3 linked regions of the Drosophila melanogaster genome follow. The protein of the gene in region 3 purifies or fractionates together with the protein of the main gene of each other region. This does not show direct contact. Each region holds a gene or a part of one and is shown on either strand. Other genes may lie near its edges.

Region 1 (10,447 bases), on a different chromosome or scaffold from region 3:
TGGTACTGCTTTCAATCAAAGTAAATGACTGGCAGGTGGCTAGAGTCTTTTTTTTTTTTTTTTTTTTGAGTGTAGTGTCTTCCCAGCAGTACGTGAGTGAGAGTGTCGCGGATCGCTCATGGTTCGTTGCTCTGTTTACGTCGCTTGCATAAATTAAGACGGAACGGCTGCTTCTTTGGTCTGGGGTCGGTTTCTATTGCTCTGACACCAATTTCAGCTAATAATTTCCTGCACACCTCGGCCTCCCAGAGCCCAGCCCGCCCAACGCTCTGATTTGCATTCCTTTTGAATTTTAATCGCTCCATTAACTATAAATATTTCTCTCATTGATGTGTGCGCAACTCCGCCTCCTCCGATATTCCGCCTATAGTTCCTATTATGCCCTCTGTTTCGCCGCTACTTCTTGGCCCGATTGTGGCCGGTTTCGAATCGTTCTAAGTTCCCGGTTTTAACCACGTTATCTTCTCGTGTTTATACATACGAGTATGTCGTGCGGTTGCTTGATGGGCATGGGCATTACTAGGGGTTTTGCCCCCGAAGAACAATGCAAAAGTGAAGAGGCGTCTAGTCTAGTCTCTTCGAATGCATTTTGGGTTCGAGTAAGTTTACCGCCAGCACGAAGCTCTTTGAGAATCCAGAATAATACTGGTGTTCCCAACGGTTGAACCCCATAAAAGTTCCCGAACCCGCCCGCAACCTCTTATCGTGCAACATATCTGGAAATTTTGGTGTATTTCTCTGGAGGGGCATGGGGCAACGTTTTGATGACTAATAAAACCCTCGAAACGGGCTATTAAAAATCGAAATTTAAGCCCAGACAGAGGGAAACGAGGACAGGAGGAAAAGTGTCGCCCGCATTCTAAAAAGTCGACCAAAAGAAACCAAACACAAAGTCCAATCAAAAATCGTTTATTTAACCCATAAATCCGAGGTTCCCTCCACGAAATACCCCCGAAGGAAGTTCAGGGAATGTACGTGTCTAAAATGCTGAGAACTCCCCCGATTCGCTCGATTCACGGAATTTGCATTGACGACAGCAGTAAGAAGACGCCTTGACTTCAGTTGCCAATTTGGCCGAGTCTCGGAACAGAGAGACAAAGGCACAAACAGGCGCAGAAATAAACAAAAAGTGTTTCACGCCAGAGCAAATAAACAAAAACCAACGCGAAACATAAACGAAGGCAAGCAAAACAAAAGGGGGAAGTTATGCAATTGGAATCGACGCAATGAGTACCCTTCACTTCTTTTCAACCCACATATCTTGGGCATAGTTTCTTAGAAACCATTGGTCACCAGTGGTTTTCTGCCAGAGATCTACCCCAAGAAAGGGTATAGGTATAAGAGGAGAAATGCACAGACAAAGCGCACAGTGGGCAGACTGCCAGAACGGACCGCAAATGCCGTGGATGGCGGCGATGAGATAAGGAAACCCCAGTACCATTTCGTATATTTGGAGCAGAGAGTATGTATGGACTACGACGTCGATTTGCTTATCGGCCGAACCTGAAGTGTGATTGCTTGTTTTCCGGACGGGGGGGATCCATTGAAATGTGGGACAGCGATAGTACAATGCTTTGCTTGTTAGCCGGCTGATAACTGATAACAGCCGAATGGGATGATGCGGCGGCGTGGGAACTCGGTTTGCAGTGATTCATCATGGCTGGCGAAAACTTGTTAGCGCTTCCATTGAGCAGCAATCAATCTGCAATCTTCCTATGATTGCGCCAATGAGCATGACCAAATAGGCGCGATACGTGTGTTTCTCCCTTTCTCGATGATTGGAGAATGTCAGATTTCATGCTCGCGCCCGGCGGCAGATACTATTTCTACATCTCATCAGATACTCTTGTCGTGTGTCGCAATCTCGGGTCGCCATCATCATCGACTCGAGGGTCTGATTATCATTTCGAGTCTGTTGCCGTTGGCAGCCATCTCGATGGCAGTTTCTAGAGATTCTCTAAGCCAGCGCTGCAAATGGTTGCTTTATTTGTCTGGAGGCAGGAAACTTTTAACTGGATATTTATCGTTGAGTTAGCCAAAACTATTGTTCAATCTAATTAAGCAAACAATGGATTTAGACTCGCACTTTTACTTTAAGCACACAGAGTGCTATAAATGTCTGCATGTCAGTGTTATCGAGGCAGCACTGTTCGCCCAAATTACCCTTTCTTTCTTTCTTTCCTCTCGTTTTACGGCTCATTTCGGTTTTTGTTGTGGTTTTTTTTAGTCTTTGGGGCAGCAGCAAAAAATATTCGCATTCTTCGAGTTCGGCTCTTAAAGACTTTGGAAGCCGGTCCCCGGTTTTGCCCATACATATGTATGTATGTATGCGTTTGTATCTGTGTGTTCTTTTGCTGTTTCTTCTTCTTCTCTGTTCTCGGTGCTTTCTTCGCCGCACAGATTTATGCAACTTTTGTTGCTGCTAGTTTTTATTGGAGAACGTTTACTTTTATGACTTTTTTAGCCCGCCATGGCCCTCTGTGCCACCCATTTTGACCCGCACTTCGGCGATTCAATGTCAACAGCAGCCAGCTGAGTGAGAGAGAGATGGGCATATGTGGCGAGAAAGAGAGGGCGAGCCAAGAACAATGTGCGTGCTGTTCTTGCAATCGTCGAACGATGATGATTCATAAAAATGCGACTGCAGGCGAACGACGACTATAACAGGAAAATCAAGTGGAATGTGGCAATGCAGCTGCAGCAGCTGCTCTCCCCCTCCTCCCCCTCTCGCGAGCACCCCTGCATCCTCCCCCTATTCAAAATATATATATATACGATATATATATGTTGGTGCGGGTGAGGCGACGACGTCGCGACTCCTCCGAAATTGCAAACGAAGCGCAGCCAGCGATGTCGCGACGTCAGCTGACACAATGGGTTGCCATTGTACTGGTACAGTAAGGCCCCAGTAACGCGAAACCGCAGCTGCGTGGTATTCGGAATTTAACAAGAGATCGAAATACAAATAAACTACATAACTAAAGATCGAAGATGCTATTTACAACGATTTCTAAAAGCTACAAACTCGTGATTAGTCTCCAAGCCGAAAAAGTTGTTTACTAACGAGAGTTCCCTGTGCTGTAAATACAAAATGCAGGAGGCCGGAGAAATTTGGACTTGTGCCGCCAAAGGCAACATTGCAGTATAAATATCTAAGAACTTGACGTTTTCAATTCATCTAAATTGTAACTAAAGCTGGCAGTCATGCAATCCACTTTGAGTGCACTTAACTAAGCTGGACGTTTTTAAAGAAAAGTTGATCAAATATACATATATAGAATGTATATGTCAAGATGAAAAGTGTAAAATTTAATTAGGTGCAAGATGATTTGGGTGAGTCATTATAAGTTCCAAGAATTTTCTATGCTTTATTTATAGCTCGTAAATCAAAAAGTCTATAAAAATGTAAATGTCTATGCTACGAATTAAGCCAATTAGTTTGTGATGAAATCTAGAAAAGCAACATATTTAAATGTACAAAATATGAAAATGGTCCTCTTTACTTTGCTGAGTGTTATCATATTATTGCAATTTTAAATTATTATCATGGCTAGTGCTTATCAAACAATAACTTAACGTAATAAAGTGCAGGCATAGATTAAGAATTAGCTGCACTCTTTTTTTTCTCGGCAATATGTTCATAATTATTTATCTTGCTGTATTTTAATATATTTATACTTCTACGTGTGCTTTCGTAATACATAGATAACATAAATATAGTTATAACATAGACAATTTTGAGATGGACGACCTTTGCCCAGATCCAATTGGATGTCAATAGAACCTAACTAACTAAATGGCTATTCCTATGTGGTAGTAGCAACTACATCCTCACCTGGGAATGCTGATCAGGTAGCTGAGGAGACGCCGCAGATCCTCCGGCTTGAGGCGATCGCGACGGGGCGTGGCCGGGAAGCAGAGGAGCGGTCCGCCGCGCCGGTCCCGTCCGCCCGTGAGGAAGACGACCCGTTCCTGGAGGAGGGTCAGGAGATCCCTGGCCCGCTGGCCGTCCATGCCGTCGGCAGGGGAAGGGGGAGGGGTGGTTAAAGCGGCCGGGGGTTAATCACTGGAGGGGTTAAACTGGGGGGTCTCCGCCCGTTTTTTAATCCGACGATGGGCACTGCAGCATAACGAATTCCAGCCTCGAATTTCACTTGTTTTGGCTCTGTTATTAGTTATTATTATGAACCGCTGCTTTTGCTCATTGATTTTCGCAAATTTCTCGCTGGCATTTTCATGGTCACTCTTTTGCTGTTGTGTTTGTGTTGTTGCGGTTTTCGTGTGTTTGCCCGTGTGTGCGTGTGTGTGTGTGGGTGGAAAATGAGTGGGGAAGCAGAGATGCAGATTAGCAATGGGTATTTCACTTGGTTTTCTAAATGCTACACATAATTTGCACACAATTTGTGTAGTTTTCCTATTTTTAGATGCAAGGAGTGGAGTTTTTTTCTTCAGTCACCCTCGCACTTTCGTGCGTGTGGGAGTGAGAGGGAGATACAAACAGACGGGCAAACACACACACTCGCATGGGGGTGCATACATATGCGTATGTGTATGTGGCATGTGCACACATGTATACATATGTACTCCCGTTAAATGTCATAAATCACACGCAGCATAAAAACATCAAATAGAACTCGCGCAGGCAGGCACACAAGTTGAAACATTATTTGGAAATATACACACTCAACACAACATTCGCCACTGCGAACGGGCGAAAATCCGCTATGTTTTAATTGCCTCAATTTGAACACAAACTCCAGACGTATATATAGCCTGTATATACATATGTATATGCTATGTATATCTGTATCATCACATCATCCGCAAGCAGTTCTCTTGCGTCTTGGCTCTTCTTCTTGCCACTGCTTGTGCCACCAAATTGATTTTTTTCACTCGCGCTGCTTTTGTTTTTCACACGCTTTCCCACCGGTAAAATCACCCAAGTTACCGTTGCACGCAGTTCGCGACTTGACGCGGGCTAAGCTAAAATTTTCATTTTTCAAGAAACCGCGATTTTACGAACGGGCGCTCTCTGTTTTGTTTAAACAAATTGGATTTTGCGAAACGACAAGTGTGACCAGATGCCGAAACGGCTTACAAACTGAATTTTCAGCCTTTTTTAATCGAGCACACCGATTGCGTGCCTCGATAGGTGTTAATAATCGATAGTCATAAGGCATCGCAATTGAGTAGAGTTTTTCTTAAAAAAGTCTACATAGTTACGCTCATGATTATCTCAAAATGATACCTATGATTAAATATTAAATATTTTGACTTTTTTTAAATAATATGTAAAAATACCAACTATCTACGATAACAGGCATCGATTGTACTACTATCGATGCTCGCCTGCTAGCATAAGCTCGCTGATACAACACTGTCTGTTGTTCATTAGCTTCCGTTTCTGCCGAGTTTTACCAAATAAACCCGAATCAAATTAATATACCTGCAAACATTTTACGCAAAATCAAGAACTCGCTTCGCCAGCGCAAGAAGAAGCACCGCCCACGGCAGGCCACGCCCCCAGTGCGCCCCGATCCCAAGGACGCCGCCGCCAAAATGGAGAGCAACTTGAACAGGATCATTCGTGAATCGGCCAAACTGAAACTCTGCGGTCAGCTCAGCAAATACACCAATGTGATGAAGGGTGAGCAAACTTTCACCTTTGGAGCAGCACCTTCAAGCTCTCCATCCCATAGAATCCCCGCTAGAACCGCTTCCCTAATCGCAGCATCCACTTTGCAGGATGGCAGTACCGTTGGTTTACGGTGGACGCCAAGACAGGATCGCTGAGCTACTACCTGTGCGACTCGTCGACGGTGGGCGACGACATCGCGCCCTCGCCCCACGTCCTGGCCAGTGCTCCCAGGGGCCAGGTGCAGCTGGCCGGCGCAGTGGTGTACCCGAGTGACGAGGACTCTAGGACGTTCGCCATCGCCTGCGCCTCCGGCGATACGGTAAAGCTGAGGGCCAACGATGCCAGGGCCCGTCAGGAGTGGGTGGATGGCCTGCGGGCGGTGGTCGAGAGTCACATGAAGGCGATGGACATCAGCAACTCGTCGCCGCTTCCTCCGCGGGAATTGCTTGCCGCCTCCGATGCCATGGTTTCAGCGCGCCAAGCTCTGTTTCTCACGGAACAATGGTAACTGCACAGTGATTCGTAGCTAACGCCGCATTACCTCCTGCAATCTATAAATCTATCCCCAAACCCTTCCAGCAACGCTTCTCTGGCCAGGGCCATCGAGAGCATCGACTGCGCTTCCTTCTCGCCAACGGATCCCGATCTTCTTTTGCTCAAGGCGATCTCCACGGCCAGCACCCAGTGCCTGCACCAGTGCTTGGGATTACTGCAACGCCACCAGGAGATCAACCAGCCGGTGGCAGAGGCCGTGCCTCTTGTGCTTTGAGAGATGCATGCTGCAAGGATAGTCTCCAGTTTCCAGTTTCCACTAAGATATGCCCAATAAACACTAAGCCAAACCGCAATGCAAAATCAAGAATCAAGATTCAAGACAACGGTTTGGTAAGCAATGAGAAGACTTTCAGGTTGGGTTACTTTTCAATGTTTTTATAAAATACTTTTTGTTCGTTTCGGTTTTCCGTTTTTAAGTTTTTATGTTTTTTGTTTTCTTCGATTAATTAGAACATTCATTTCGACATTTAAAGTTAATTTGAACATAAAGTTTGCACTAAAGTTTATAGAAAATGTTGAGTTTTGGACGTGGACTTGGACGCTGATCCAGATCGTACAAAGATACACAATATCCAGGAGATTTAGCCGCTAACTCTTGCCACTGCTTATATTACATCCTATTCCGAAAGTAATTCGTTAAGTTTCGATACGTGTGGGAACATCAAAGTCTATTGGGGGAACTGGGATTACATAGATACTTATATATCGTGTGTGCTTATATACGGGCTATGGCTATGGTAGATGTTCTTGCGTATGCAAAAATAGTCATGTTTATCATTATCATCGTAATTAACTCTTGTCCGATTAATCAATTGTGTGCTTGCCAAACCAAACGTTGCCGAAAGTATGCCTAAATGCCTAAAAGGGGTTTAAACCAAATAAAGAGATACTCATATATGTACGTTCTCCGATACTCAATCGTATCGTAATGTCGCCAGACTTGCCAAATAAATCCTCGAGTCCTGCCGCGAATCCTTGGCCTCGCTCTCGACCGGATCGGAAGTGGAGCAGAGTCCAAATTAAGGCTAGAAAAGGCACTTTAGAAGGGGATCTAGTGGGGATTTGGGTTGATGCGGGATCAATTCGGGGACTACGTTGGGTTTCCAATAATGTCGAAATCAGTGGCCTCGAGTTCGGCGGGAGCAGCAGCAGGGCTCGGTGTAAAAAATTGTTGCTTCTAAATTTTGTCTAAAAATTTCGATTGTATAAATACGTTAAAAAAGTTCACGTGTTTTTGTTTGTTTTCTTTTTACAAATTTTGTTTGCGGTGTATTCATCGCTGAATTTAATTCCGAAAGGCATTTTTTGTGAATTTCTTTGTTTTTTGTTAAGCCTAAACATTAAATTTAGTTGATTCCATTTGCGTTCGAAGCCACAAGCTTCGATTTCAATTTTTATTTTTTTTTTTTTCATTTTTAGATAATTTTGTACATTTTCTTTCTCGCTTCTCGTGAACTAAAGACTAAACCAAATTCGGGCACACAATTACCAAGTTAAATCCGCTTAAACTCTTTTGATTTTATTCCATTTCATTAATATTAAACTGCTTTGATTTGTGGATCATCCTGCTTCTGATTCGGTTTCAATTGAAGTTTGAAGTTGCATTCGAAACAGATTTCGAATGGTTTGTGGAATGTTCCGGGTTTGCTGCTTCCACCTTCGCTGTAGCTTACAACTAAAGAGATCGGTCGCTATTTAGTTAGTTAGTTAGACTGATGGACTATAACATAATAATACTTTAATTTTGATTCAGTAAGTACGCTAGGAATAGAAACTAGGTGGCGAAGATCGCGTGGAGGAAACTAGAGTAAAACTGGCTAATGCGACAGCCTACACCTTGGTTAACTACAATAGATTGCAATGTACACTTTTGATATGATAAACAGAACGTGGTTAAAGCTTATTTGTAAATTCGATTGGATATCAAGTGTAGGAATTGTTCGAGGTGAAAACGCAAAGATTTGGAGGAAACCTTCAAAACGTATATATCTAGTTTATTTACACATAATTATAATTTGAAATGTGATATATCATGTAGTTGGAAAGTAACTCGTTTACAATATGTGGATGCAATGCCTAATGCGGTTTTCTCGGGCCAAATTCAATCAATTTGCACTATGGGCATAAATCGGGGAATGCAGTTTACAGATTCCACGTATAATAAATAATATATAATTTAAATTAATTTAATTTAACCAAGGCGTAGGCTTACACAGGCCAAGTAAAGCTGCCGAAGCTTCTGATTTGCGTTCATTCACCCATTATCATTTCTCAACTTTATCATTTCCTTCGTTTCACCCTCCCTTTACTCCCTTTACTCGCTAGTGGTGGTAATGGGTTCCACCTTGATGCCTCCACTGCTCGAGGAACTGGGTGCATCCGCGCCTGTGGCTGCGGAAGCTGCTCCTGCCGATCTTTCCGGAGGAGCCGTCGCTGCCGCCGCCGATGATGAGGAAGATGAGACACTGGCGCCCACCAGCTCGGCCAGATCCTCGGCGAAGAGGCGGCTGGGCGAGAATTCGCGCTTGTAGCTGGCCATGTCCAGGCCAAGATCGCCGAGCGGGGAGTGCAGCCGAGGCGTTTCGCTGCGCAACGGACTGCTCTTGGCCTTGGGCGCATGGTGCTGGCCCATTGACGACGAGGAGGCTGAGGAACTGGAGCTGGCACCGAAACCGGACTTGTGGGCCACCTGATGGCCGCCCTGATGGTGCTGCTGCTGCTGCTGTTGCTGTTGCTGCTGATGGTGGTGCAAGTGGGCCTGTTGCTGCTGCAGGTGCAGCTGCTGCATGTGGTGGTGCGCCGCCTGCTGTTGCTGCTGGTGGTGCAGAGCGACGGCCATGCTGGGCGGCAGGTTCGGCAGGAGGCCGGCGGGACCGCAGGGCGAGGGAGCGTGCCTTGGTCCGGAGCCACTGCTCAGGGCCGGCGATATGCTGGCCCTGCCTCCAGCTGCGCCGGGAACGTTGCCCACTCCACCGCCCACTCCCGGATGAGGCGGCAGATTGAATAAGCCGGGCGGAACCGCTGCCATTTGCATCTGCTGGCGGATGTTGTGCGCCACGGCGGCCACCGCGGCGGCCGTTTCCTGTGACATATGCTGCTCTCCGGCCACGCCCACTCCGGTCTGCGGTCCACTGCCATTCGGACAGGCCATGGAGCTGGGCGCGCCTGCCAGGGCGCCACTGGCTCCGGGATAGCTGAGAGGGAGGTCCTGCAAGGGAAACGCGGGCTAACCCGAGAGCAGTTAGTTCGGTTCAAGAAATCCCCTTGAATGCAGTATATTTCGCAAAGCTTCACATTACATCAAATCATCAATATGAAGAAAACTCATGGGTAATCCCGAAAAAAAACTGAATGTAAGTAAAGGATTTTCGACCTTTTGACATTTTCGAGGAATAATAACTTTTAAGGAACTCTAGATTAAGGAAATACTGGAAGTACACTTTTAAAACTTATATAATATAAATTGAGTTGAAATTTTGCAAAAAAGGTATCACAAGCAAACACTATATTTTATAATAAGAATTTTAAGAATTTTAAAACCGATTAAGAAAGTCTCGATAAGAATGGCTCGTAATGAAAAAGGACTTCAATCTCCTGAAGCTGAAACTTCGCCAGATTTTTATTTTTTAAAATGAATGTTTATGTTATTATTCCACAAATAATGGACATTGTAGGCCTATTCATTTTTATTTCTTTAATTTAAAATGCAATTGTTTGCAGCATCAGTTCGTGAGAATGCGGAATTTGGCAAAGTCCGCTAAGCGAATTGTACTGCACTAATTACCTACCGAATGTCGACCGTAGGGTGGCATGTGAGCGGCCAGGCTCTCGTCCTTGATGTCCTTGGTGTCGCGAAAGACCACCGTCTTGATGACGCCCTTAATGTGCTCGTCGGGCCAGATGCCCAGAAGGATTCGCTGCGGCCTGCCACGCCCCTTGGGCCGCAAATCGGGCCCGCCGTCAATGGATGGTCCCAGCATATTGTGCACCCTGTTCGCATAGAGCACGAATGTTGGATACGGGATGTCGTACTTGCGGGCGGCCTGAGATAGCGATAGACCCTCCTTTAGCACACTGAAAATGGCCTCCGCCATGGTCTCGGGTCGCCACGACTTCAGAGGACCTCGCTCGCGGAAGCGCATGTGATGCATCAGATTCTGGTTGGTGTTCCAGCACTTTTGCCACATGGACTGCAGCTGGTACTGGTAGCTGTCTGCTGAAAGATCAAGATATGGAAGAGGCCGACGATCAGTT
Region 2 (10,636 bases), on a different chromosome or scaffold from region 3:
GAAAGCATGGAAGATACACATTTCGTTTTGGGGCTAATAATAGAAGTGCAGCCGCGAAAGAGAAAAGACTTGTGGTACAAAGTGGTAATGGAGACAACGCCTTCGATATGGGGAACAACACCCCCCCGCCTTTCGCTCCCTCCCCCCTCCCTGATTTCCCTTTCTCTGAGTGCTTTATTATTATGACAATTATGTTTGAGCACATAAAATCATTGGGGAAATATTTATGCGACGTCTACATTATTCCGTTTGTTTTTTGGTTATTGAGGGGTTTTTGTGGGGTGATAGGAAAAGTCGAAGAGTAAACATAACTGCTCCTTGCCGCGTCACCTGTGTGCCACCTGACTGGCCCGCCCCCCGTTTTCTCGCCCCTTTTCCTACCAATTAGCCTTGTGAAAAGTTCATTTGCCCCGGCTCATAATTTGCCGCTTGCATGTCAGCAAAGTGAGACCAACACAACACTCGGATTTCCCTGCTTGTGCGAAAAAGATAGAGGAGAGTACACTGTACACTGCGAGAAAATCTGAGATGAGAGTTTTCAATGCTTCTACAGAAGGCTCAAGAAAATTTTGAAAGTTTATAATTTGGTTAAATTCTGATTTCAAAGTGGCATAATGTATTAGTTCTCTTGAGTTCCTAATGCTTACCGCTTACATTGCAATTCAGAATTACAATTAATTTACAATGTAGACATGCATACATTTTTCAAAGTGTAAAATGTATTATGGTCAAAATAAATTGCAAACCAATCCAGGTAACTGTAAATGGTTATCAAACAACACTTGTTAAATTCCAAAATATTTTGATGATATAGCAAAATGACTGGTTTCAAAATACAGAAAAGTTGTGGAATTTGTAAAACATATTTTCTTTTGCAAGTGCAGGGACAAACGCACTTTATGCACATTTTCTTTCTCCTCGATGGAAAGAGTTGTGGCTTCTCTCCCACTTGAGTCTATTTTTGAGTCGTCAACTTGCGTGAGTTGGTTGCAAAGTGGTGGCTACGGTGGCCCCGGGTTTCCAGCAGTGCTGCATTTGCAACTGCAATTGGCAACTCCATTGAGGCGTCTCCAACTGATTATGCATCTGCATCTGCACCGGTTCTATGGTATTTTCCCAGGGCGACACACAATCCAACAATCCCTTGGCCAATGCAACTGCCGCCCCAAAGTATCTAATTACATTGTATCGCATTACGACCAACAACAAGGTTATGAAATTGCAATTGCAATGGCAACTAGCACAACGCCTACGCCTTCTGAACATTGCTTTTGCTACGTCGTAGCTGGATTATTAGTCTAAAAAATGTCATATTAATTTCTTATCTTTTAAGAAGCCTTAAAGCACTGTAAAGCCTAAAGCACTGTAATAAGCCGAAGAATTTCATTCACTTTGTTTTTTATTTCTGTTACATTCTGTTAATTAGAGCAAGAGAAATTTATGCCATTTTTTAATTTTTGAGACTGCAAATTTATTTAAAAATCTAAAAATAATAGAGCTTTAACACCTTTGCTTGTATTTATTAAGTGCCTTAATTGTTTACTTGAAGATAACAATATGCACACAAGTTCTTAATACTTAACGATGTGTTTACTATTGTAATATTGTAGTTTCAACAATTACTTAATGGTTTTATCCCACTGTGCCTAGTTACGTGTGTGGTGGGTGGATTTAACTTTGATTGAGTCGGAGAAGCATAGCGCGACTTTCCCCCCAAATTCGCCCACTTAAAAGTCCGAGATCCACCCGGACTGACAATTGCGGTGAGTCCGGCTGGCTGGCTTTCCGTTTCGGTTTTTGGGATTTGTGCTGCCTTGTAATCTGCTGAGCCAGACACACCGTTTTTACATTGTAATTCTGTAATTGCATTTCGCAGGCCAGACACACGAAAAAGGCAATTGCAGGCCCCCATTTCGACCTTTTTGGATGATGAGACACACACAGACTCTGCTAGTTTGGCAAATAGATGTGCATTTTCGTTGGCGAATTTTCTGTGTTTTTCTGGGAAATAACACCGCACGAAGCTGGAAAATGTCGTTTGTTTGTTTTCCGATGATGGTCACATACATATGTACATATGTATTGCATCGCACGGAGCGATGACTCAATAGTAGCGTCAATAAATATTTATATGAAAACCGGCTTATCAGCGTACCAGCTGAGAGATTGACTGAACTTAATGCACACAATAAGCGACTAATTATAATAAAAATAGCATTAATTGATTACAAATTGCTTGGTGAGACGGAAGCCTCTGCGAGAGCGAGATAAGAAATGGCTTCCAGTTGAGAAGAGCAAGAAGAAAAATCTACAGCTTATTGTAAATCATCTGGGAAAAGTGGCTCAGCTTGGAGTGCCAAGGAAAAATCAATACTTTGGCCAAGCCATTCGTTTGGGAGATGAATAGTTTGCAAAAGGAAGTATTTACATCAAAAGTTAAAAAGTAAAATAATAAAGGATTAAATTTCAATTTTCGAACTTAAGCAAATTTATGGATTTAATACATTTAGGAACAGATTGTCGCGCGTGTAAATATCAAAACTCGGAAAAGTCCACTTTCAGTTTGAAACAGCTGTTGCGAAAATGGCTTGCAATTGTCAGGGGAATAAGGCAACACGATTTCAAGTTAAAAAACTACCTTACTATTAATACGACCCTCGTCATGTATTCTCATACATAGTTATGCTTTTTGTTAAAAAAAAAGTTCTACCACTGAGTCTGCGTAACTATTATAACCTGACAAATGTTTTTCCGGTAGTCTTGAGAAAATCCCGAATGCCACCCGATTGTGGGTCCTATTGTGGTAGGACTTCGTCGACATGGACATAAAAAAGCTATTAGAAACGGCAAATGTCTCCCAATAAGTGGGTGTGCGGAAAATGCGGAAACGGGGAGGATGTAAAGAAAAAATTATGCAGCTTGGCAGGGCAAATAATGGAAAAGTATTAGACAAAAAAATGAGGCAAATAAAAATGTGCGTGAGTGCGTGAAGGGCAGGAAAAATGCAAGGGGAAATGCGGAAAAGTGGAGGAAATGGCAATATGTCAGCGGGGGTGGGATAACGGTGTTGTGGGTCGCAATTTCAACCACTGTGCGGGTGGCAGGGATAAGGGTGCCACGAGGAAGGCCGAAGGATAAAGGATGATGGAGAGCACGAATGCGGATTGAAACCGCCCCAAGCAGCACAAAAACAACAGCAACGCGTGCTGCTCTCTCTCTTTTCTCTTCTCTCCTTCACTTTTCTTTCTCATTCATTCTCCTTCTCTCCAGTAAACAAAAGCAGCGGAAAAGCAACAACAAGTATGAAACTAGCCGGCAATAACAACAATAATTTCCTATATAATCGGAAGAAATGGAGGAAAAAAGAAATTGGCTCAATTGGAAAGCAGCGTATATAGAGGAAGGGCGGGGATCATAAAGAAGGAGAGAGGGGGAAAGGGAAAGCCGAGTGGACTGCACTTTATGAACAATAAATACAACACTGTGCAGCCCAAACTGGCAGATAAATCAAAACTTACATGATATTTACAAAAGAGATTTAATGGCAAGAGCACGCTTAAAAAAGCATTTTTTTATTGAAAGTACCCCCATTGAATAAGTTTTTAGTTACTGATTTCTTGAATGTCCTTAAAAACTGTTGTATGGAATATCAAAAGATTTCATCACGAATTGAAATGATTGTGGTGGATGTGAGATAACACAACTCTGAGCAATTGGCAATACAGCAACAACAATTTCCATGTATAATAAGAAAAGTCACAATACTATGATGGAATTTACACCTGAGTTTGGAGGCTGCATGCAATTTTTTACAATTAGTGTGTAAGTGAATGGGACCTCCAAATGTATGCATGTTTGTGCATCCTCTGACTTTTATATGTATGTTACACAACACTTATACAGATCGATTTGGTCCAGATGATTTCTACGATTGATGCCTTTTTAACTCAAACTACAATGTGCAAGAAAATAATTCTAAGATCCAATGTAAAAGAAGAAACACCAATGAGAAATAAGTCAAGCTTACAGAAATCGAAACACAAAATGATCAAACCACTAAATAACTTCGAATAGAAAACAAAATTTTAGTGCACACCTAATTTTATAAAAACGATTTTGATTGAGCGTGCACTATGTACAGACGTTTTTCGTTTAATTTGACTTAACAAGGCTTTCAAATTTTGAAAATATGCTTTTTGCTCTGTGTACTTAGCATGCTTTCGATGCCTGTTTTCCAACACTTGCAGGAACTTACCGTTATGCTCGGTGAATATGTTGAGACCCACGGTGGGATTGCAGCGTGCATCCTTGTGTCCGCCACTACGCTGGCTCAGCCCCGATCCGGATCCGCCACCGCCTCCGCCCGATCCGCTGCCACTGGCCACGCCGGAGGACGAGGACTTGATGCGGGAGCCACGGAGCGTGGAGCCCCCGCCGAGGGGGGCGCTGCTGACGCCGCTGGAACTGGAGATGCAGTGGGGGGAAACGGAGGCCACTGGGCTGCTGGAGAGGCCGATGCAGCTGACGGGGGCCCCCGAGCCGCCTCCTCCCGAGTGGGCGCCCCTGTCCTTGCCCTGCTGAGCCCCCATTTGCCAGTGGGTGGTTGGGTGGTTTTTCGCTCTTGCGCAGCAACAACAACTTGTACACTTTTCTCTCTCTTCTCTCGGCTCCTGCTGCTACGGCTTATTCGCTTACTACTACTACTTATTATTTGCTTTGCTTTTCTTGTTATATACTTCAGCTTTAACTCTTCTCTCTTGGCCTTTTGCTCAATTATTTGCCGTTTTGCCTTTTGCTTTGCTTTAATTTATTTCACACACACACACGCACACATTTTTCTTTCTCTTTCTGCGTTTTTGGAGTAGACAAAAAAGATTGGAGACACTCACGCACACACAGAAGTACACACGCACGGAGGAAAAAGGAAGTTTGCGATTTATCTGATTTGTTGTTCTAGTGGCCGCTCAGGTGCAATTGCGAATTTGCAGCATGTTGGTAAAATGTTGTGTCGGCAAACTTCTTGTCGACGGCTGGGAGGCTGGGTGAGCTTAACTGGCGAGGGGGGTCTCAAAAACACGCCCTGAAAATGCACTTTGTCTTGCGCCTCCGCCTCTGGCTTCACCTCTCTCTCTTGCTTACGCTCGCCTGCTCTGTTTTTTACGGTTTAATTGATCCGCAGGCTGATCCGCTGAACATGGCAAATTAATCGGTTTTCGCGACGATATAGCTCTATCTGATCTGCTAGCGTTGCTTGCTGATTTATCTACATCTGTGCATTTTTTCCACGCACCGCGACGGATCGAATTGGAATCCAACTTGCACTCGTGTGACCGCTTGTCGGTCGTTTAAACATACCCTACTTGGCAGCATACCGATAGACGTATCGATATTGATAATAAATGCTTAGTACTTACGAACGCGTTGGCAGCGCTAGTTTGGTAAGAAACTCGGCTAATGCAATATGATGGGTGCGCGACACGGACTGGTTGGGTGGTTAACTTAGCTTAGTAAGCCAGTGCTTAAAAACTCCATGATTGTGAACACTAATTTTTGGTTGTTCAAAAAAAAATTAAATTCAAACGTTTAAAACACATAATTTGAATTAAAAGAATCTTGATATAGCTTTCTAGGAAAAGTTTATTCTCTTTAGATTTTCAATGCAATGCAACTTATAACATTATCTTTAATTTTTCATGGATACACTTCGAATTTTTTCGACTATTGCGTCAACCCTAGTTTAGTTTATTGATTTTAAGAGAAAACTGACTCAAATCAAAATGTAATTGACATTTAAAAACATCGAATAATCAAGCTACGGTTTTTATAATATGCCTTTAGATGTATTCATAAATTCCCATTTAGCCCGACTAATAAATACAACTGCAATACTTTCCATCCTTTTCCGTTTGTTACGTTTTATTTATCCGTTGGTTTTGTTTAGCATTCTCAATCTTTAGTGTTCTTGCTTAGTTATTATTTAGTATGTATACCCGACAGAAATTTCAAGTTTGTTCGTTTCAATTTCTCTCTCCTGCTAGAGTTCAGTATCAATCGATCCTTCTCTCCATTCACACGATCCTCCTTCAGCTTCTGCTCCGATTTCATTTTCAGTTACATTTTCCTCGCTTACACTAAATTAACTTTTCAAGTAGGACTTTTGCTTTTCATTTTCTCGGTTTTGCTCTTTCACATGCGATCTCTTCTGTTCTGTTCGCTTACAAGTATAAATATAATTTAATTTTTCTCTGGTTATTATTATTTTACGTTCTTTTTTTTTTTTTTTTTTGTTACGTTCAAGGACTTTCTGTGGCTTTGTTAAGTTACCAAAAAGCAGCAAGAAATTTGAAGGAATATTCAAATGCATTTAACACAGGTTAACTAAATAAATGCCTTCCCCTAACAGAATCGAACTTTTTGTATTGCAGCATGACTGACACACTGGTTAAAACTATACTGACTGACTGGAATATATGTTAAAATTTCAAAAATATTTTATTGGTGACTATGACAATGCTTCGACTTAATCCAGTCAGTCAGCAACATTTTATCAGACGTCTTTTCGACTGTTATAAATATTGTTTGTTCTTACAGATTTGAAAACAGTTTATTACTTTACAATAACAATTTGCGCTCTGGATCTTGGAACAATAGACTAACTTAGTGTTTTGTTATTGGTTGGTATTCCGTTTTCACGTGTTTAATATTCCGTTAATATAGGTTTTTATAAATATATATGCGTATAGACTTAGAAGTACAAAGTTCTCAGACCCCAACTACAAGTGATTTTAGGAAAACAGTTCTCCAGTAAATCAAATTCAATTTCAACCAAAAATGCCTGTCGTTCAAGTATCGCAAACTGTGCGATATCCAAACTGAAGGCAGGAGTCTGATCCTTCTTGAGAATTTTAACTAAAATTGGGAGGCAACACAAAATTCCACCCGAGAGGTAAATTATAGCTGACAACGCAAATATCGAAATACATTCAGGGGCTAGTGGAAAACAAAACATTCATTTGGCGCATGTCAATAACACCGGAAATATAAATAAATTCTATACATCAACGACACTTCTAGAACTGCAGCTGGGAAATACATCGAGAGATATCAAGAGGAGTGACTATTAATTAAACGCATGCAAACTAGTGAGCAGCTAAATTCCTTGCGTTCCTTTCACATATCCCTAGAGAGATCTAGAGATTTCAATTCAAGCTTTTCATGCGCTCGCTTCTTTGCCCCTCAATTACATAGAGTTTATTCTGACTCGACTCTGAGTTTTGGTTAGCTTAGGTTCGTCTGTTTTTTTCTTCTTTTATATACATGTTCAGATATATGGTTCGTACGCCTGTCCACACGGTACAACTTTTGGCTTACAAAATTAAACTCTCATCCGACCGGTCGTGTGCCACCCAGGTTTAAAATTAAAAAACAACTTGTACACCGCTACATAAATAAAGGTCCTTAGCCGTAAACAGGGGGAGTGGTGATGATGGGAGTTAGGTGCTGGTGTGCCGAGCTCCGTTTTACTGCGCCTTGGCCTTGCGCAGATAGGCTGCCTGATCCTCGCCAGCGCCGATGAACTTGGAGCTCTCGCTGGCCTGCTGGGGGCTGCTCGACTGCTTGACCACATTCTGGGCTGCCAGGGAGGCGGCCATGCGCCGGCTCTTGTGACCACCGGGCGCCAGGTACGCCTTGTAGAAGAAGCGCGCGAACAGGACAAAGTAGCTGGAGTACATGGCGATCGACAGATTGATGTTGCGCTGCGAGATGTGACAGGAGGAGGTGCCGTGCGTCTTCAGGAAGCCATTGGCCCACACGTTGATCGCACATCCGATGATCATCTGAGCCAGCTGCAGCGACGTGATGATCATCGAGATGAACCTGGGCGGATTGAAGCGGGCCGCCTTCAGAGCATAGTAGCTGTACATCACCGAGTGCACGCAGTAGTTCATCACGATGAACCAGCGGGCAGAGCTGGTATATTCCGTATAGCTGAACCACGAGTAGATCAGCACGGTGATGTGGTGATACCTGTGAGCGAAAACTATTCAATTAATATAAAGTTCAAGTTTAGTTAATTGTTAGCGTTCTCAGGGAAACTACAATATATTCAAATCAAATCATTTTGATCAATCGAAACAGCTTATATCACAAATAATTCGCACCTTTTATTTCCTAACTAAGCCTAACATATAATTAACGCTAGTTTCATATGCCGAAATAACCGTCAGTGAATCTCATTAAAAGTAATTCGCTATGACTCATATGTATTGCTTCACTGCACCTATAAAACGTATTTTTACTGGTTTACTGGTGTTGCTTGTCTAGTGAAAGGGCATTTTTATCTTTTAGTAATAATAATATAAGGAAATTCTCTTTGATTGAACTTAGACAGCAGTATTCCTTATGGTACATGAGTACAAGTTCTAGCAGATGCCGCCACATGTGATGCAAATTGTCATCATAAGTAGCTTTTCTCCAAAGATGGAGCATATTGCAGGATGTTATATTATCACTCCATCTTTTTTGACTACTCTAAGAGTGGATCTTGGATGCCCAGTCAGTGTTTCGCTAAACTTACCAGTGCAAAAAGATGAGTGGCTGCTTGCGGAGCACAATGAATATCGTGTCGCCCAGCTCCGGCAGTTTGCTGAGCACGAAGAGCCAGGTCCAGAAGCCGCACACGCGATCTTGCTCGATGTAGCTGTGGGAGAAGGTTGGGAATATCGGTCAGTGATCGTTGATTTGCATATGGCAATCAAGTTTCCAGCCGCACAAGCAGGTCATGCGGACAGACAGGCACTGGAACCTGTCGATGCAAGGCCGATGGGGAGTTCAATACCAACCTGGGCACGCAGACGGAGTGGAAGAGTCCGTAGTGACGCAGCACGTGAATCAGCTCCGGCGCCGTTCGGGCAGCACCCATGATGCTGAACATGGCCAGCAAGGTGTTCCATATGATCAGCGGGCCGCGCAATTGGAATCTGCAATAAAAAAAAAAAAAACAAAAAGGAAAGGAAACTTTAGCCATGCAGGAAAAATACAGTGGAAAGGTACCAAGATCGCTTGAATTTGGGGTTTTTCCAGACAGCTGACTTTGCGCGCCTTAATTTATATAATAAATTTAAATATTCTAAATCAATTACGAATAAAAGTTAGCTTCGCAAGCTGGCTGATGACTTCAGAACAATTTTTATTTTTATTCCGACTCCCACACTTACCAAAAGCAAATACTAGAATATTTTACTAGTTGGCCCTTGAAATGAATGATGCATATTTACCCGGTGCCAATAATCGCGAAATTGCAGCGGAAAAAAAATCCCAAAAGATCAACAAACTCTAACGATATTCAATTTTCCATGCCTCCGTCCTAGACGAGCGTGACAGTCAAAGATCAAGTTGTTATTTGCCACAGCAGGCAGCAGGCACTTAATATGTGCGAATTTTTGTGTACGAGTAATGCATGTAATGACATCAACCAACCCCCAACTTGAAGATGCCGCACGGGGGGTCAGTCAAATAGTAGTAGAAACTTGCGCGTAACCTAATCTCCTGAAAACGGGTAACCTTAGCGCAATTGTGCCACTTAGTTGCCAGGGCACTTTGAATAAACTTACTTAATGCGAACATTCGATGCCATGGAATAGTCATATTTAGCTGTCACGGCATGACCTAATAGATTACAGTCGATTACTTTGTCTGTGGGCGCGCACACAAAAAATTGATAACGCAAGCGGTCAAGTTAAAACAAAAAACCTCAGGTGATCTCTCAGCTCAATTTAGGAATCTACCAAAAGTGGTTGGTCGCGGGAACGACACGTGTTTGGGAAACAATGAGTTCTTCTATAGAAAGAGACACCCATTAAAACAGCAGTTCGATTCCAACAAAGAAAAAGTTGCCCACACACAAATCAAAATACTGGTTTTAGCATCTTAGTCAGACGAAATCTGGCTAATGAAGTTCTTTTGGCCAAATTATATTGAAGTAATGAGCCAGTTTAAAGAGCTTTATGACTTTGGGAACAGCTGAATCAAATACTAATTATAATCGCACCACTCAACGAGTTCGCTCGAATGCGGAATTGATTTGAGTATGCGTTCTAAATCTTAATTAGTAATAGCAAACAAAGTTTACGCAATCAATTGGCTGCAAATCAGTTGGCCAACCTTATCGGTGGCCCGTTTACTAGACTGTATATTCCACAGCAATTACTCATAAAAATCAACACCAATGGAATCGCATAAATGTGTGATATCAGTTATCACAATGTGTAGTTGGTTGGTGGGCAAACCAAAGAAATTGATTGCATTGACCTTTAGCCTGGAGAGAAATTTCAATATTTTTGAGCAAACAAGCAAAGTTTACTTGCCAAATCTCTTGGCAGAAAGTCGGAAATATTCGAGAAGCAAAGTTTATAAAGGAAATGTTTGTTTGGCCCCCATGTCAGAGCGTCAACGGGTTTATGAAAAACACAATCGATAGACGGTTATTTCCCAGCCAAACAAAGCCATAAAGATTGCGTATTTTGGTTTAGTCTACGCCACTTTTATCGGGCGCAATCAGAATGCCCAAATTGAATACGTATTTGTGTCAGCAAACACATACCAAAAACAGCTCACTCAAAAATCTAGCCGAGAT
Region 3 (10,656 bases):
TGTTAATGCCGGCAAACGAAGCTGCAGAGAGGCAAAAAGTTCAGCCGAAAGGTCAAATCGAATTTGCGGTCCGCTTAAAAGGGTTCAATGCATTTTACGAGTGCAAACGAGCATGTGAATGCATCGGATATCAGGCGGTTTGCCTTATGAATGCCGTTAAACGGTTATCCCAAAATAATTGATTTATGCCGGGTTCACGAGACGCTTTTGGGGGGCCAATCCCAATCCCGCAATGGAAATGGCCACAAGCGTTGGCACCTTGCGCTGCCACAGATCGAAATACATGGATATGTAATAAATATTTCACTTAGTGGCGGCTATCTAGCAACAACACACGATTTCGGTACTCGGTACTTGGTATTCTGCTAACCAAAATCGGAAGTCACGTTTAAGCGTTTTCGCTACAAGTTTCACACAGCGGATGATTGATGAGCCAAGTAAGGTACGTATGTATGTGAGCACGGAATCTATGGTCATTAGGGTTTCCTGGTGTCTTATCTTTTCTTTTTGGCTCACTTTAATACACTTTCGCCCTCGAAATAGTAGATATTTCCTGGGAATATTTCACCCTGTCACTTAATTAAGCCAGTATATCCAGAGTCCATAACATTCTCTTCCATTTCGCTTTTCATTTGGAGCAAGTCATTGCTGTTTGCTGGCCAAATGTTTACTCAACATTTTTGGCCTGTGGCTGAGATGTGAAACTCTTGCGTTTCGCAATCAAAATCTCTGTCAATATTTGTGCGAAAAATTTGACAAAGTAAAGCTGACACATTCCAGTGGCAATTAGGAATAATATTCTCTCGATTTGCTGAAAATAAACTTGGCTGTTTTCTTTTCTCCGCTGTCGTTTCCAATTGTGTTTTAATTATGTGCAAACTGCAGCGGAGTTTGCCGGAAAATGCTTGGGCGCCTATTAAAATCTCTAGGACATGACGACGGCATATTTTTCATCAGCTCGTAATCAAATTAGTCGCCTGCTAATTTTAACTACACTAATTTGTCTGCGTCACGAAGGGAGTTCTTCCTTTTCCGCAAAAGTGAAGTTCTTACTGCCTATCTCCCACCTGCCACGTTGTCAAAAGGAACAGGACTCCAAGGAGTTTTGTGACAGGCTGAAGGATTTATTGGCCCGAAGTTGCCTGCCTGCCTACAATCGCCCAAAAAGTGCAGGATCCTCTTAATTAATTTCCTCGCGACAGGCGGACTTACGGCAAAAACATGTGATGAGTTATTTTGGGAAAGTGGGGAAAACTTTGATGGTTAAATGCTTAAAGAACATCTCTCGTTTAGCCGAAAATTTGAAGCTGAAGTGTATTTTATTTACGAGTAATAGCTTACGTTTTTATTAAGTATTGCTTTAGATACATTTTTTTCGATATTTAGTTTTAGTAAAAGCTGTAAGTTGTTTCGAAAAGACTTTTTCCTTAGTTTTTCCCGGCTTTTATTGACCAGCTGCTGCCAGTTTGAAGCTCTGCCACTGCATCCGCTCCTTTTTATCCTTAGCCTTGCCTTGAACTTGACTGACCATTGCCAAGGATATGCTTTCCTGGCCAGACGCCCACCCATCCTGTCCCATCGGCAACAGCTGCTGGGATTTAATTCGGAAAAGGGGCATCCTGCAGCCCAGACAGGCCATGAAATGCATTTTCTGCCGCCAACATGTTGAAAATGCTGTCGCTTGTACAATTTTTGGCATGCGACAAATATTTCCCACCATAAGGGGGAGCCAGAACTTTAATTTATGGCCACCGACAAGTGCAACTGCACGCCCCAACGACAACAATGAGCGATGAGCAGCATGCAACATGCAGCATGCAGCACACGAGGTATAAAACTGCACAAAACGAGCAGATTTGCATTTTACCAGCCTAGCCAGCCAAATGCAAGTTAATGAGTCTATTATGGGCGCCCAGGAGACGGATGGATGCCCATTGAGAGTTGTGATGAAATTTGTGCGTAATTAAGATGTGTCACTTAGCCACTCGGGAATTAAGTCACAAATCTGGTCACAAAGTGTCGGGAATTATGCTGATTTTATGTTTCCTTTTCCCAAATATGCGTCATTTGGAATTGGTAGGGGGGCACGGTCTTACATAACCGCATCGAACTTTTTAAATGACTCGCAATCCGGGTGAGTGGCCCCACATTGCCCCACCCAAAGGCCCAAACTTCTGATCCGCCATCTGTGAGTCAGCCTGGCGACCATGTCAAGTCATTTCCTTTTGTTCTTTAAGCCAATTTCGCGGAACCCAACACTCAAGTGTCATTGGCCAAAAGTTTTGTGGTCATAAACCCAAGTTGCAAGTATAGGTCAAAGCTATAAAGAATATTTGCACCACATTTGCCATTCAATCATATTTCTTAATTTGATTGGCTAACTCAAACTCCAGTTTAAAATTCCAAATTATTATGTTACGCATTTATGACCCAAACGCCTTCTGCAATTGGCTTTTAAAAGTTAACTTATCTTTTCACTGTCAAAAAACTGAAATGCCAAACTATTTCCATTTCCTGTTTTTTCCCCACAACTGCAACTGCAACTTCAGCTTTCGAATTTCTTTTAAAACCAATTATCAAATCATGTCGCTGCCGGCTGACAAACTCATTTATTTTGCTCCCTGCACTCAAAACTGAGACAGCCCCACATGCATCATACTTGCACTTGGTGGGGTTTTGGACTTGGCTCTCTTTATGCCACTGGAGTTCCTCCAACCCACTCAAAAAGCCCCCCTCTTTTTAAAAGCAACCTAATTTCACGTTCGTTTCCACTTATGCTTTTCCACCTCACACAAAATATTTGTTTTCCTTGGGAAAACTTCGTCTGGCTTTTCCACAGATCTCTAACTCATGACCACAATTTACAACCACGACCGAGACCCAGATCCACATCAAGACATCGAAGAAAAAGTGTCAAACTGTCAGCAGTTCCCAAAATTAGCATAATTTAGTACGCATAGACTGGATTTCAGGTTCACGAAGATATTTCCAATTAATTTTAATGTGTGACAATTATATTGTTGTTTTTTGTTGGATATTCCCGCGTTGCATATTTTTACACGGAAATTTCTAAGAAAATAAATAAGTTCTTTATGATGCATACACAATGATTGATTATAAGCAAATCTCTCACTTAGTATCTTTTTAATGATTTTTTAAATTTAATGTTTTTTAGGTATATATATAAATATTTTAAATTATGTTTACATTTTTTCATCTTAGGTTGCTTTAACAGAAAAATACTTAAGTTGATCACTTATTTATAATGCAATTTTGCTTTTGACACTGTTTTAAAATTTTCTTTAATTGCTGTGTTCTTGTAAGAACTCGATTTAATTAAATTTTTAGCCACAACTCGTTTTTTCTGTTTTTCTTGCATAACAGGGTATATTAGTTTCGTAGAATAGTAACAGTTTACGACCCTATGAAGTATGAAGTAATAATGAATATTAATGATCAGAATCACATGGTAATTACAATTATAATAAATGCAATCTGGAAAAGAGTTTTTTCCTATTTCTTGTACTCCCTTGCACTCTTACTAGCTAGTTAAGGGGTATCTGATTGTCGAGACACCCAATCGAAGCGTTCTCTCTAGTTTTTGCACATTCAATTGATTATTTTTCTGTAATCCCCAACACTTTTTTTGTTGTATTTTCTCGGCAATTCGTTGGCGCTCAAAATACATCAGCATAAATCATCAGCGAATCTCTGGCAAGCGCCACAAAAAAAAAATATGGTACAAAAAAAGGAGTGGAAACAAGAAAAACACAGCGACATATTAAATTTACAAGTTGATTTTGATTTATGCGCAATGGGCATATGGACAGGCACACAAGCCGAGATTTGTTGTCTGCCGACGCTAACTTAATTTAACTTACTTTGTTGTTGTTCTCTCTCACCGGTTTGCTGGCCATTGTTGTTGCTGCCAGGCGTCGCAATTTGCTGCCTGCGTCGCCTGTCGCCGCCAATTAAGTCGGGAAATGGCCAACTATTTTAGCCGACTGACAATCAAAGTGATGGAAATGCATACTAATAATAGTAAGCCCTGATTAATCAGGTTTTTATTAACAGAAAGTACTTTAAACTCTATCTATATACCTAATTTAAAATCAAACTTAATTGTATCCCTTCCAGAATATCATAACTCATGAAGTATCACTTAAGCAAATATTCTGAACTTCCTAATGGCTCTGGATTTAAAATCTTTGCCTTTATTAGTTCTACCCAAGTTAACAACTTTCTTAGGAAGCGATTTGCAGTGAAAGTCTTTAGTGCCATGAACAATGGATTTGCCAAGTTAAACGAGAGAACCTTTTATATATTTAAGCAATTTCCATGTCCGAAGTGCATGCCTTAATTTATATATTACCACACACAGGCTTAATTCACTTAAGCGCCTTTTCGTGTCGGCACCTAAAAGCTTTGAATGGGAAGAACATCCGAATCAGAATCCAAATCACCATCAGTCGCCGCGTTTTGTGGGTGCCCAGAAGTTGCCCAACTTCAAGCTGGCATAACAGATACAGGGATGCGGATGCACATACAGATACGGATACTCGAAAGACTCGGTAGCTCGGATTAATTAAAACTGAAAATTGCAGTGGCGTCTGGTGGGGAAATGTGTGTGCTGCTTTTAAAAAACCTGCAATTAGCAGCGAAAAATCTCCGGTTCTGGTAATTTGATCCAAGTCCTCGAAACTTGACCCACATTTTGTGGGCATACGGATGATACGCTAATGAAGGGAATTTCATTTCACTTATTTTTGCGGCCTGCCAGTCCAAAAAAAAATGCCTCCCCCTTCTTTTTCACCCCGTCGTTTATTTTTACGACGCTTTCGCTTAAGCGCTGGCATTTAATGTGAAATTTATCATTTCAACGCCACGCCCCCCACCCCACGCCCAACCAACAATTTGTCGGCCTTGGTCGGATTTTTTATTGCGTTCACATTTCTCCGAGGCGAAAAGTGATATGTTCATTTTTTCAGCCTTTAAAGTTCCTGCTGGTTGCTGGTCGGCGCTTTTAAAATGAGTGTTCCTTTGCCACATGCATTTTTTTAGAGCCACAACTTTTAACCACAACCTGTCTGCACGTCGGTTGCTCGGGGGTGGCAATCACTGGCCAACTGCAAAAAATGCATTTCAAACAGGAGATTTTCCCATTGGTTTGAGCATAAAGTTTTCTGTCAAAGGATTTTTCTGAAATAACGTACTTATGAACAAGATCAGTCGGGGAGAAAGTTGAGGTACATTTCGAAAGCCATTAAAATTTTTAAGTATTAATCTCCTGTGACTCTCATAAAAAGAAATTTGTGTAAAGTAAAACCGAAAATATGTGAAATTTTAAAATATTTAAAAATATAGGAGCAAACCTTTTGAATACCGATATAAATTCATATGATTAATATCCCAACTGCAAATGTCCTCGAAATAATAATGTTTGTTGCTTTTGATGTGTAATTGACTTTGGTCCTAACTTTTGAATTACGCGCCATTTGGAATAAATTGCTCAACTGACCTTAACGCGTTTTTGGTGATGTGCACTCCAGTATCGATTGCTTTTCAATGTCGATGACAGTCATTAAAATATATTATGATTACGTTAGTAAGAAAGCTGAGCACTGATTACTACGTTACTTATGGAAACCCCTTTGTAAAATGATAATGAATTTATAATATGCAAGAATAACATGGTGCGAAAGTCATTTCATCGTCATCGATAGTAGTGAGACCATCGATAAGCATCGATAGCGGATGTGTTTTCGCATCACCCGCGCAGCTAGGGATTTTTTCGACAGTTTCGGATTTTTTTTCGGTCGTCGAGGTCGTTGCGCGCATGTATACTCTTTAGTGGCGAGAAAACGCGTTTGCCAATAGTAAAATCCATCGCAAAGAGGTAGAAAATTAAAATAAGTGCAGCCAAAATCGAAAATAAATGAAAAAGGCACTCAAATAATACATACAGCCGCTGAAAATGTGTTTTAAATAGAACTGCAGCTGCAAGTCCTGATGCCTGCCGAAGGTTAGAGCGAGACAACGCTACTTACTCGAGTGTGTGTGCGCAATTTGTTGATAGTATTTTCTGTTGTTGTAAAAATGCCCCGCTTGCAAGCGTGCAATAACAGCAACAACAAGACCTGAAACAACAACAATAGGCGGCGAATGCCGGCAAAACAAAAACGCGTAAACGATTGATGCGAATAGCGTAAAACAAGAGAATCGAAAGCAATAATCGCCCAAGAATACACAACAAAAGTGGAGTGAGTAAAAGTCGCGTGTGAGTGTTTGCGTCGCGTGTATGTGTGGGTGCAAAGGATACAAATAGAAGGCGCAATCGGCGATTGGCGGGTATCAAGAGCCAAAATGTTGTAAACAAATCGCAAAAGTCCAAATAAACCTGAGCCATTCGAATTACCTCCGATCGCAAACGACGGTTTCCAGCCAAATCAGCGAAAAGCAAACAGAATATGGCCATCACAACAAACAGAAGCAGCAGGACTTTGTGGAACTGGCTGCTCAGCAGTTGTCTCATATTCCAGCTGATTGGCAGCAGTTTGGCAAGTCAAGGTGAGAACTTCAATCTGAAATGATAAATATTTTGCACCAAAGTGCCGTAAGAGGGCTTTATAAAAATGTAGATAGTTTCTATCTTTCGCTGTGCAGGTTGTCAATTTATAATTTTAAACCAAAGACCCATGAAATCCAAGCTTAGTTGCTTACACAGAAAGACATTATCAAATTGTGTACATATATAGATTATTAAAGAGATTATAAAAGATATAAAAAAAATTTTATGAACATGTGATTGAACTTTAATTCTTGGGCTGCGCCTTAATTGCCTTCTGACAGGAGGAAATAATCTAAAACAGTGTATAAATTCGGTAGATTAGATGAGTTTATATCACTTCAATAAATATTACGATTAAATAGTACGAATAGATGAACTACGTGGTTTGTCAGCCCAGTAATTTTTAGTTCACTACACTCATCCACCATATTTTATGACACTATCTGTTACTTTACTCTTCGTACAATTCCCTATCTATGTTGTGTATTCGGGTACCATAAAGTTCGATATCTGTATTTTAACAAATATGAATGCAAGTACAGTTTTGGCGACTGGATGTCTGGTCGACGTGCCAGAAAGCAGGCATTGGGACCCACAAAAAAAAAAAAGCCTCATGTGCGAAAGGTGATGTCAACGGCGAACTGATCCGATAAGCTGTCATATTTCGCAACTCGCGCTCTTTTTGCACTCGTAAAATTGAGGTACTTTCAAAAACCCTGCCCTATTCCATCCACATGTGCCAATCACCCGGGGTAATTCACCGTAATTGCTTCCCATCATATCACCTGCAGATAAGAACTCAAAATGGGATGGTTGCGAAACCGATAGTGCTTCAAAACTTAAACATTACTAATGAGCTTCGCTTGAAACGAGATAAACTAAACACTGCACAACATGAATTGAAAACCAACGCACTTGTTTGCGATTATTTGAGCCAAAACAAACACGATTTCCTGTGAAAAAGTATTCTGAAATCGAAGAAATAGAATCCAACAAAATGGTAGCCGTAAGAGTCATTATCATTAGCTCAAAGCCAGGGAACAAGTGATCTTAGGGGATCAGGTAGGTAAGCGCAGGTAGAACCAGTGCAGCCCAAAATGCAATTAGGTTTTAGGATCAGGCACAGTTTCAGTTTTAGGTCCCAGAAGAAGATTACCCAAGATCGGTGGGCAGCTGCACAATGCATCAATTGATTGATTTGGTTTGAAAACTAAGCCAGGGGTGGCTTAGAGGCTTATCATATTTCCATTTTCGGCTGGAGAAATAAACAATCGCGTAAAATGAGGGAGGGATAATGGAAATCCCCGCAAAAGGCGCAAATAATGCAAACAAATTAAATGTCCTGCCGTGAATCTCGTCTCTGCGCCATCTTCGAAACGAGAAAGAAAAGCCACCCCTAAAAGTGAAAAGTGTCCTGGAAAAACGGGGAGCCGCCTTATCAGCTGCAAAATTTATCAACGCCAGCTCCAAGACAGCCCGAAAAAGGACCCCAAAAAAAGTGCGGTCGTAAAAAATTGTCGGGGCATGTCATATGCAAATGGAATGAAAAATCTTTGAACAAATTTTTAGGTCATGGCATGTCATAAGTCGCAGGACTTAATGCCAGATTTAATTAAAAGCATTCCCTCACATAACTTCAAGCTTTATGTGGTGGGTATGTAATTAAAAAAAAAAGAAAACAACTTTACTTACATGGGTGTAACTAGCTGAAAAGAATTGTGTGACAACAATGGACTCACGTGGCTTCACGACCACTTAGTACCGTATAATAATGCATCAATTAAGGTTGATAAGATACTATGAAAGTAAGACAAAGTTAGACATTTCCGTGTTAGTTAAATTAAATTATAGAAAAGCATTTTAATAATTTATTTTGATCTTTAGATCTATGTGGCCTTAAGACACCCTTGTGGTTTTTTCTATCTTGCTAAACAAACTAGTTGATTTTATAGAAGGATCCTACTTATACCGTGTACGAAAAACTCACGTGCGAGGTCCTGTTCCCATTTTCGTGCTTATTTGTGGCGCTCTGTGTTTTCACTTTCCTGGTCATATTTCCTCGCTCTTTAGCCCGTGAATTGTGGCAATTGTTTGATGTTGTCCTGGGCGAGTCGCCTCACCCTGGCGTTCACTGGCTTTTTCCCGTGGCCAGGAGCACATTTAGCCGCATTACGTGATACAATATATGAGTGACATGTTATTCTAATTTCGCACCCCTTTTCATATTCCTGGACACATTTTTTCCGCTCGTTCCGAGGGTGCGCTTGTCAAAATAAACATTTCCATATGGTGGTTATAGCCCCGGGGCTCTGTGTCGCAATGTGACAAAAGAAAGGAATGGAACATTCGGTCGGGGAGAGAGTGTTTAGAGGACTCGAATGAGGTCACTTCTTCTCCGTTGAATGCAGACTAATTACGAACCGATGCGAAGTCCCTCAATGGTGTTTAAAACGCGGACGTCACTCTGAAGTGTTGACAAAGCGCCGGAAATTGTTCGTCTTTCGAAGGTTGTGGGTTCTTAAGATGTATACTCCATATAGATGTATGTACACACATATATGCATGACTAAGAGTCGCTTGAAGGACTCGGAAATATCTCACTTCTATGGCACTTATTGATGGTCGCTGCGAGATGTCTTCTTCGGTTTCTTTCTCAAGAGATTTGCATTGTGCCAGGCTTTTCATCTGCCAACAATGACAACTTCTGTTCCGGCACATAAACTTTTGCCAATGAAGTTTGGTTTAACAAAAGTTGGTCTTGTCATTTAATTAAAAATGTTGTGTTATATTTGTTTTCCTTACAAGAGGAGGCAAAAAAAAAAAACAGAATTTAGATGTTGCATATACTTGGGGAAACTCATGTTGCTGGAATTTTTATGGAAAACAGCAGGAGGAACCGTATTCGACACCAAATAAACCGAAAAACAAAGATATCCAAGAGTCGGCACAATTTTGACACCGAAAAAAATAGGTTAAGATACAAACAATTTCCACACTAACCAAATCAAATGGTTTAAAGTAAGAAAAAAAATGTCATTTCTATTAAAAAATGAAAATAAGTTAGTGATGTTGCTGATAAAAACGAACTGCACTTTTTTGTCTGTGTAACTTCTGCTGCGTTGGCAGAATGCAATTTCGTTTGCAGCTTCGAACCCGGACCTACCCACCCTCCGCCGATTCGACATGACAACATGAATAATTCACTTGAACCCGCCACAAACACCAAAACAAGAACAACAACAACAACAACAAGCCGAGACCGATTCTGCAACCCGAAATGTTCGAAAAGTTCAATGCACGCAACCTCAAAATCCAGATTTAGACCAATCTAAAGTAAGGAAGGGAGATTCGTTGGAGAATCTGCAAGAAAGAGAAAAGATCTGGCTGCAGTTACAGGAAATCATTCTGACCATAAAAGCATCTGGGCAACAATGTATTTCGCTTTACATTTAGCACACTGTACCTTTTGCGGGGGCGTTTCCTCAAGGATTAGGGCCTATTTGCATAGGTCTGCGTGGGTGATCCGTAGGTGGGGCCACTGCATTACAGCGAAGGACACGGCTAGAGATTCCAGCGAAGAAATGGCATTCAGCCCACTTGAGAAAAAAAAACGATCATTTCGTACTTAACTTGTTCGGCTGAGTGGCTTAAAGTGCCGTTAAAACAAGCCTGGCCTGGACGGGCCTAAACGGCAAATCTCACACCTCTGGTTGGTTGGTTGGTTGTTTGGACGGACGGAGCTCCTCCATTTGCCCATTTAGCATTCCCGACTCCATACACACCAGCGGGGCTATAAAATATCAGAAATTATCTGCCTCCACGCCTCGAATCGCACTTAATCACCTCGAGCAGATGCCAAAGGAGTGAAACGGCCGAAACGGAAGTCGGCAACAGTTTTTTAAATGCAGTCATTTAGTCGAAGTGCCAAAGTGCTGGCCATGGGGTACCATGGTTACCATGGGTACTCTCTAGCTCTCTAGGCTCCCGAGATTTGTGATATGGGCTGGTCGCCACGCCCTGGCCAAAAGAACTCAATTCTACCGGATGATTTTCTTAACTTGAGGTGGGGAGCTTGGAACTGGCTTCGG

The links.
Region 1: the proteins of fra (region 3) and trio purify together in Drosophila melanogaster (affinity purification with western blotting; one study listed by BioGRID). This does not show direct contact.
Region 2: the proteins of fra (region 3) and Abl purify together in Drosophila melanogaster (affinity purification with western blotting; 3 studies listed by BioGRID). This does not show direct contact.

What each region holds. Positions count from the first base shown.
Region 1 is NT_037436.4:1,029,815-1,040,261, forward strand, and holds the start of trio (trio), read right to left. Parts: upstream 5,062-10,447; 5' UTR 4,684-5,061; intron 4,252-4,683; 5' UTR 4,015-4,251; coding exon 3,836-4,014; intron 1-3,835. Other genes in the region: CG9205 (uncharacterized protein), read left to right, coding at 5,560-5,647, 5,746-6,142, 6,218-6,407; bab1 (bric a brac 1), read right to left, coding at 8,508-9,419, 9,982-10,409.
Region 2 is NT_037436.4:16,642,555-16,653,190, forward strand, and holds the start of Abl (Abl tyrosine kinase), read right to left. Parts: upstream 5,329-10,636; 5' UTR 4,590-5,328; coding exon 4,256-4,589; intron 1-4,255. Other genes in the region: baldspot, read right to left, coding at 7,521-8,028, 8,579-8,701, 8,844-8,981. UniProt on the Drosophila melanogaster protein: Arm and Abl proteins function cooperatively at adherens junctions in both the CNS and epidermis; critical for embryonic epithelial morphogenesis regulating cell shape changes and cell migration.
Region 3 is NT_033778.4:12,523,260-12,533,915, forward strand, and holds the start of fra (frazzled), read left to right. Parts: upstream 1-5,793; 5' UTR 5,794-6,467; coding exon 6,468-6,567; intron 6,568-10,656.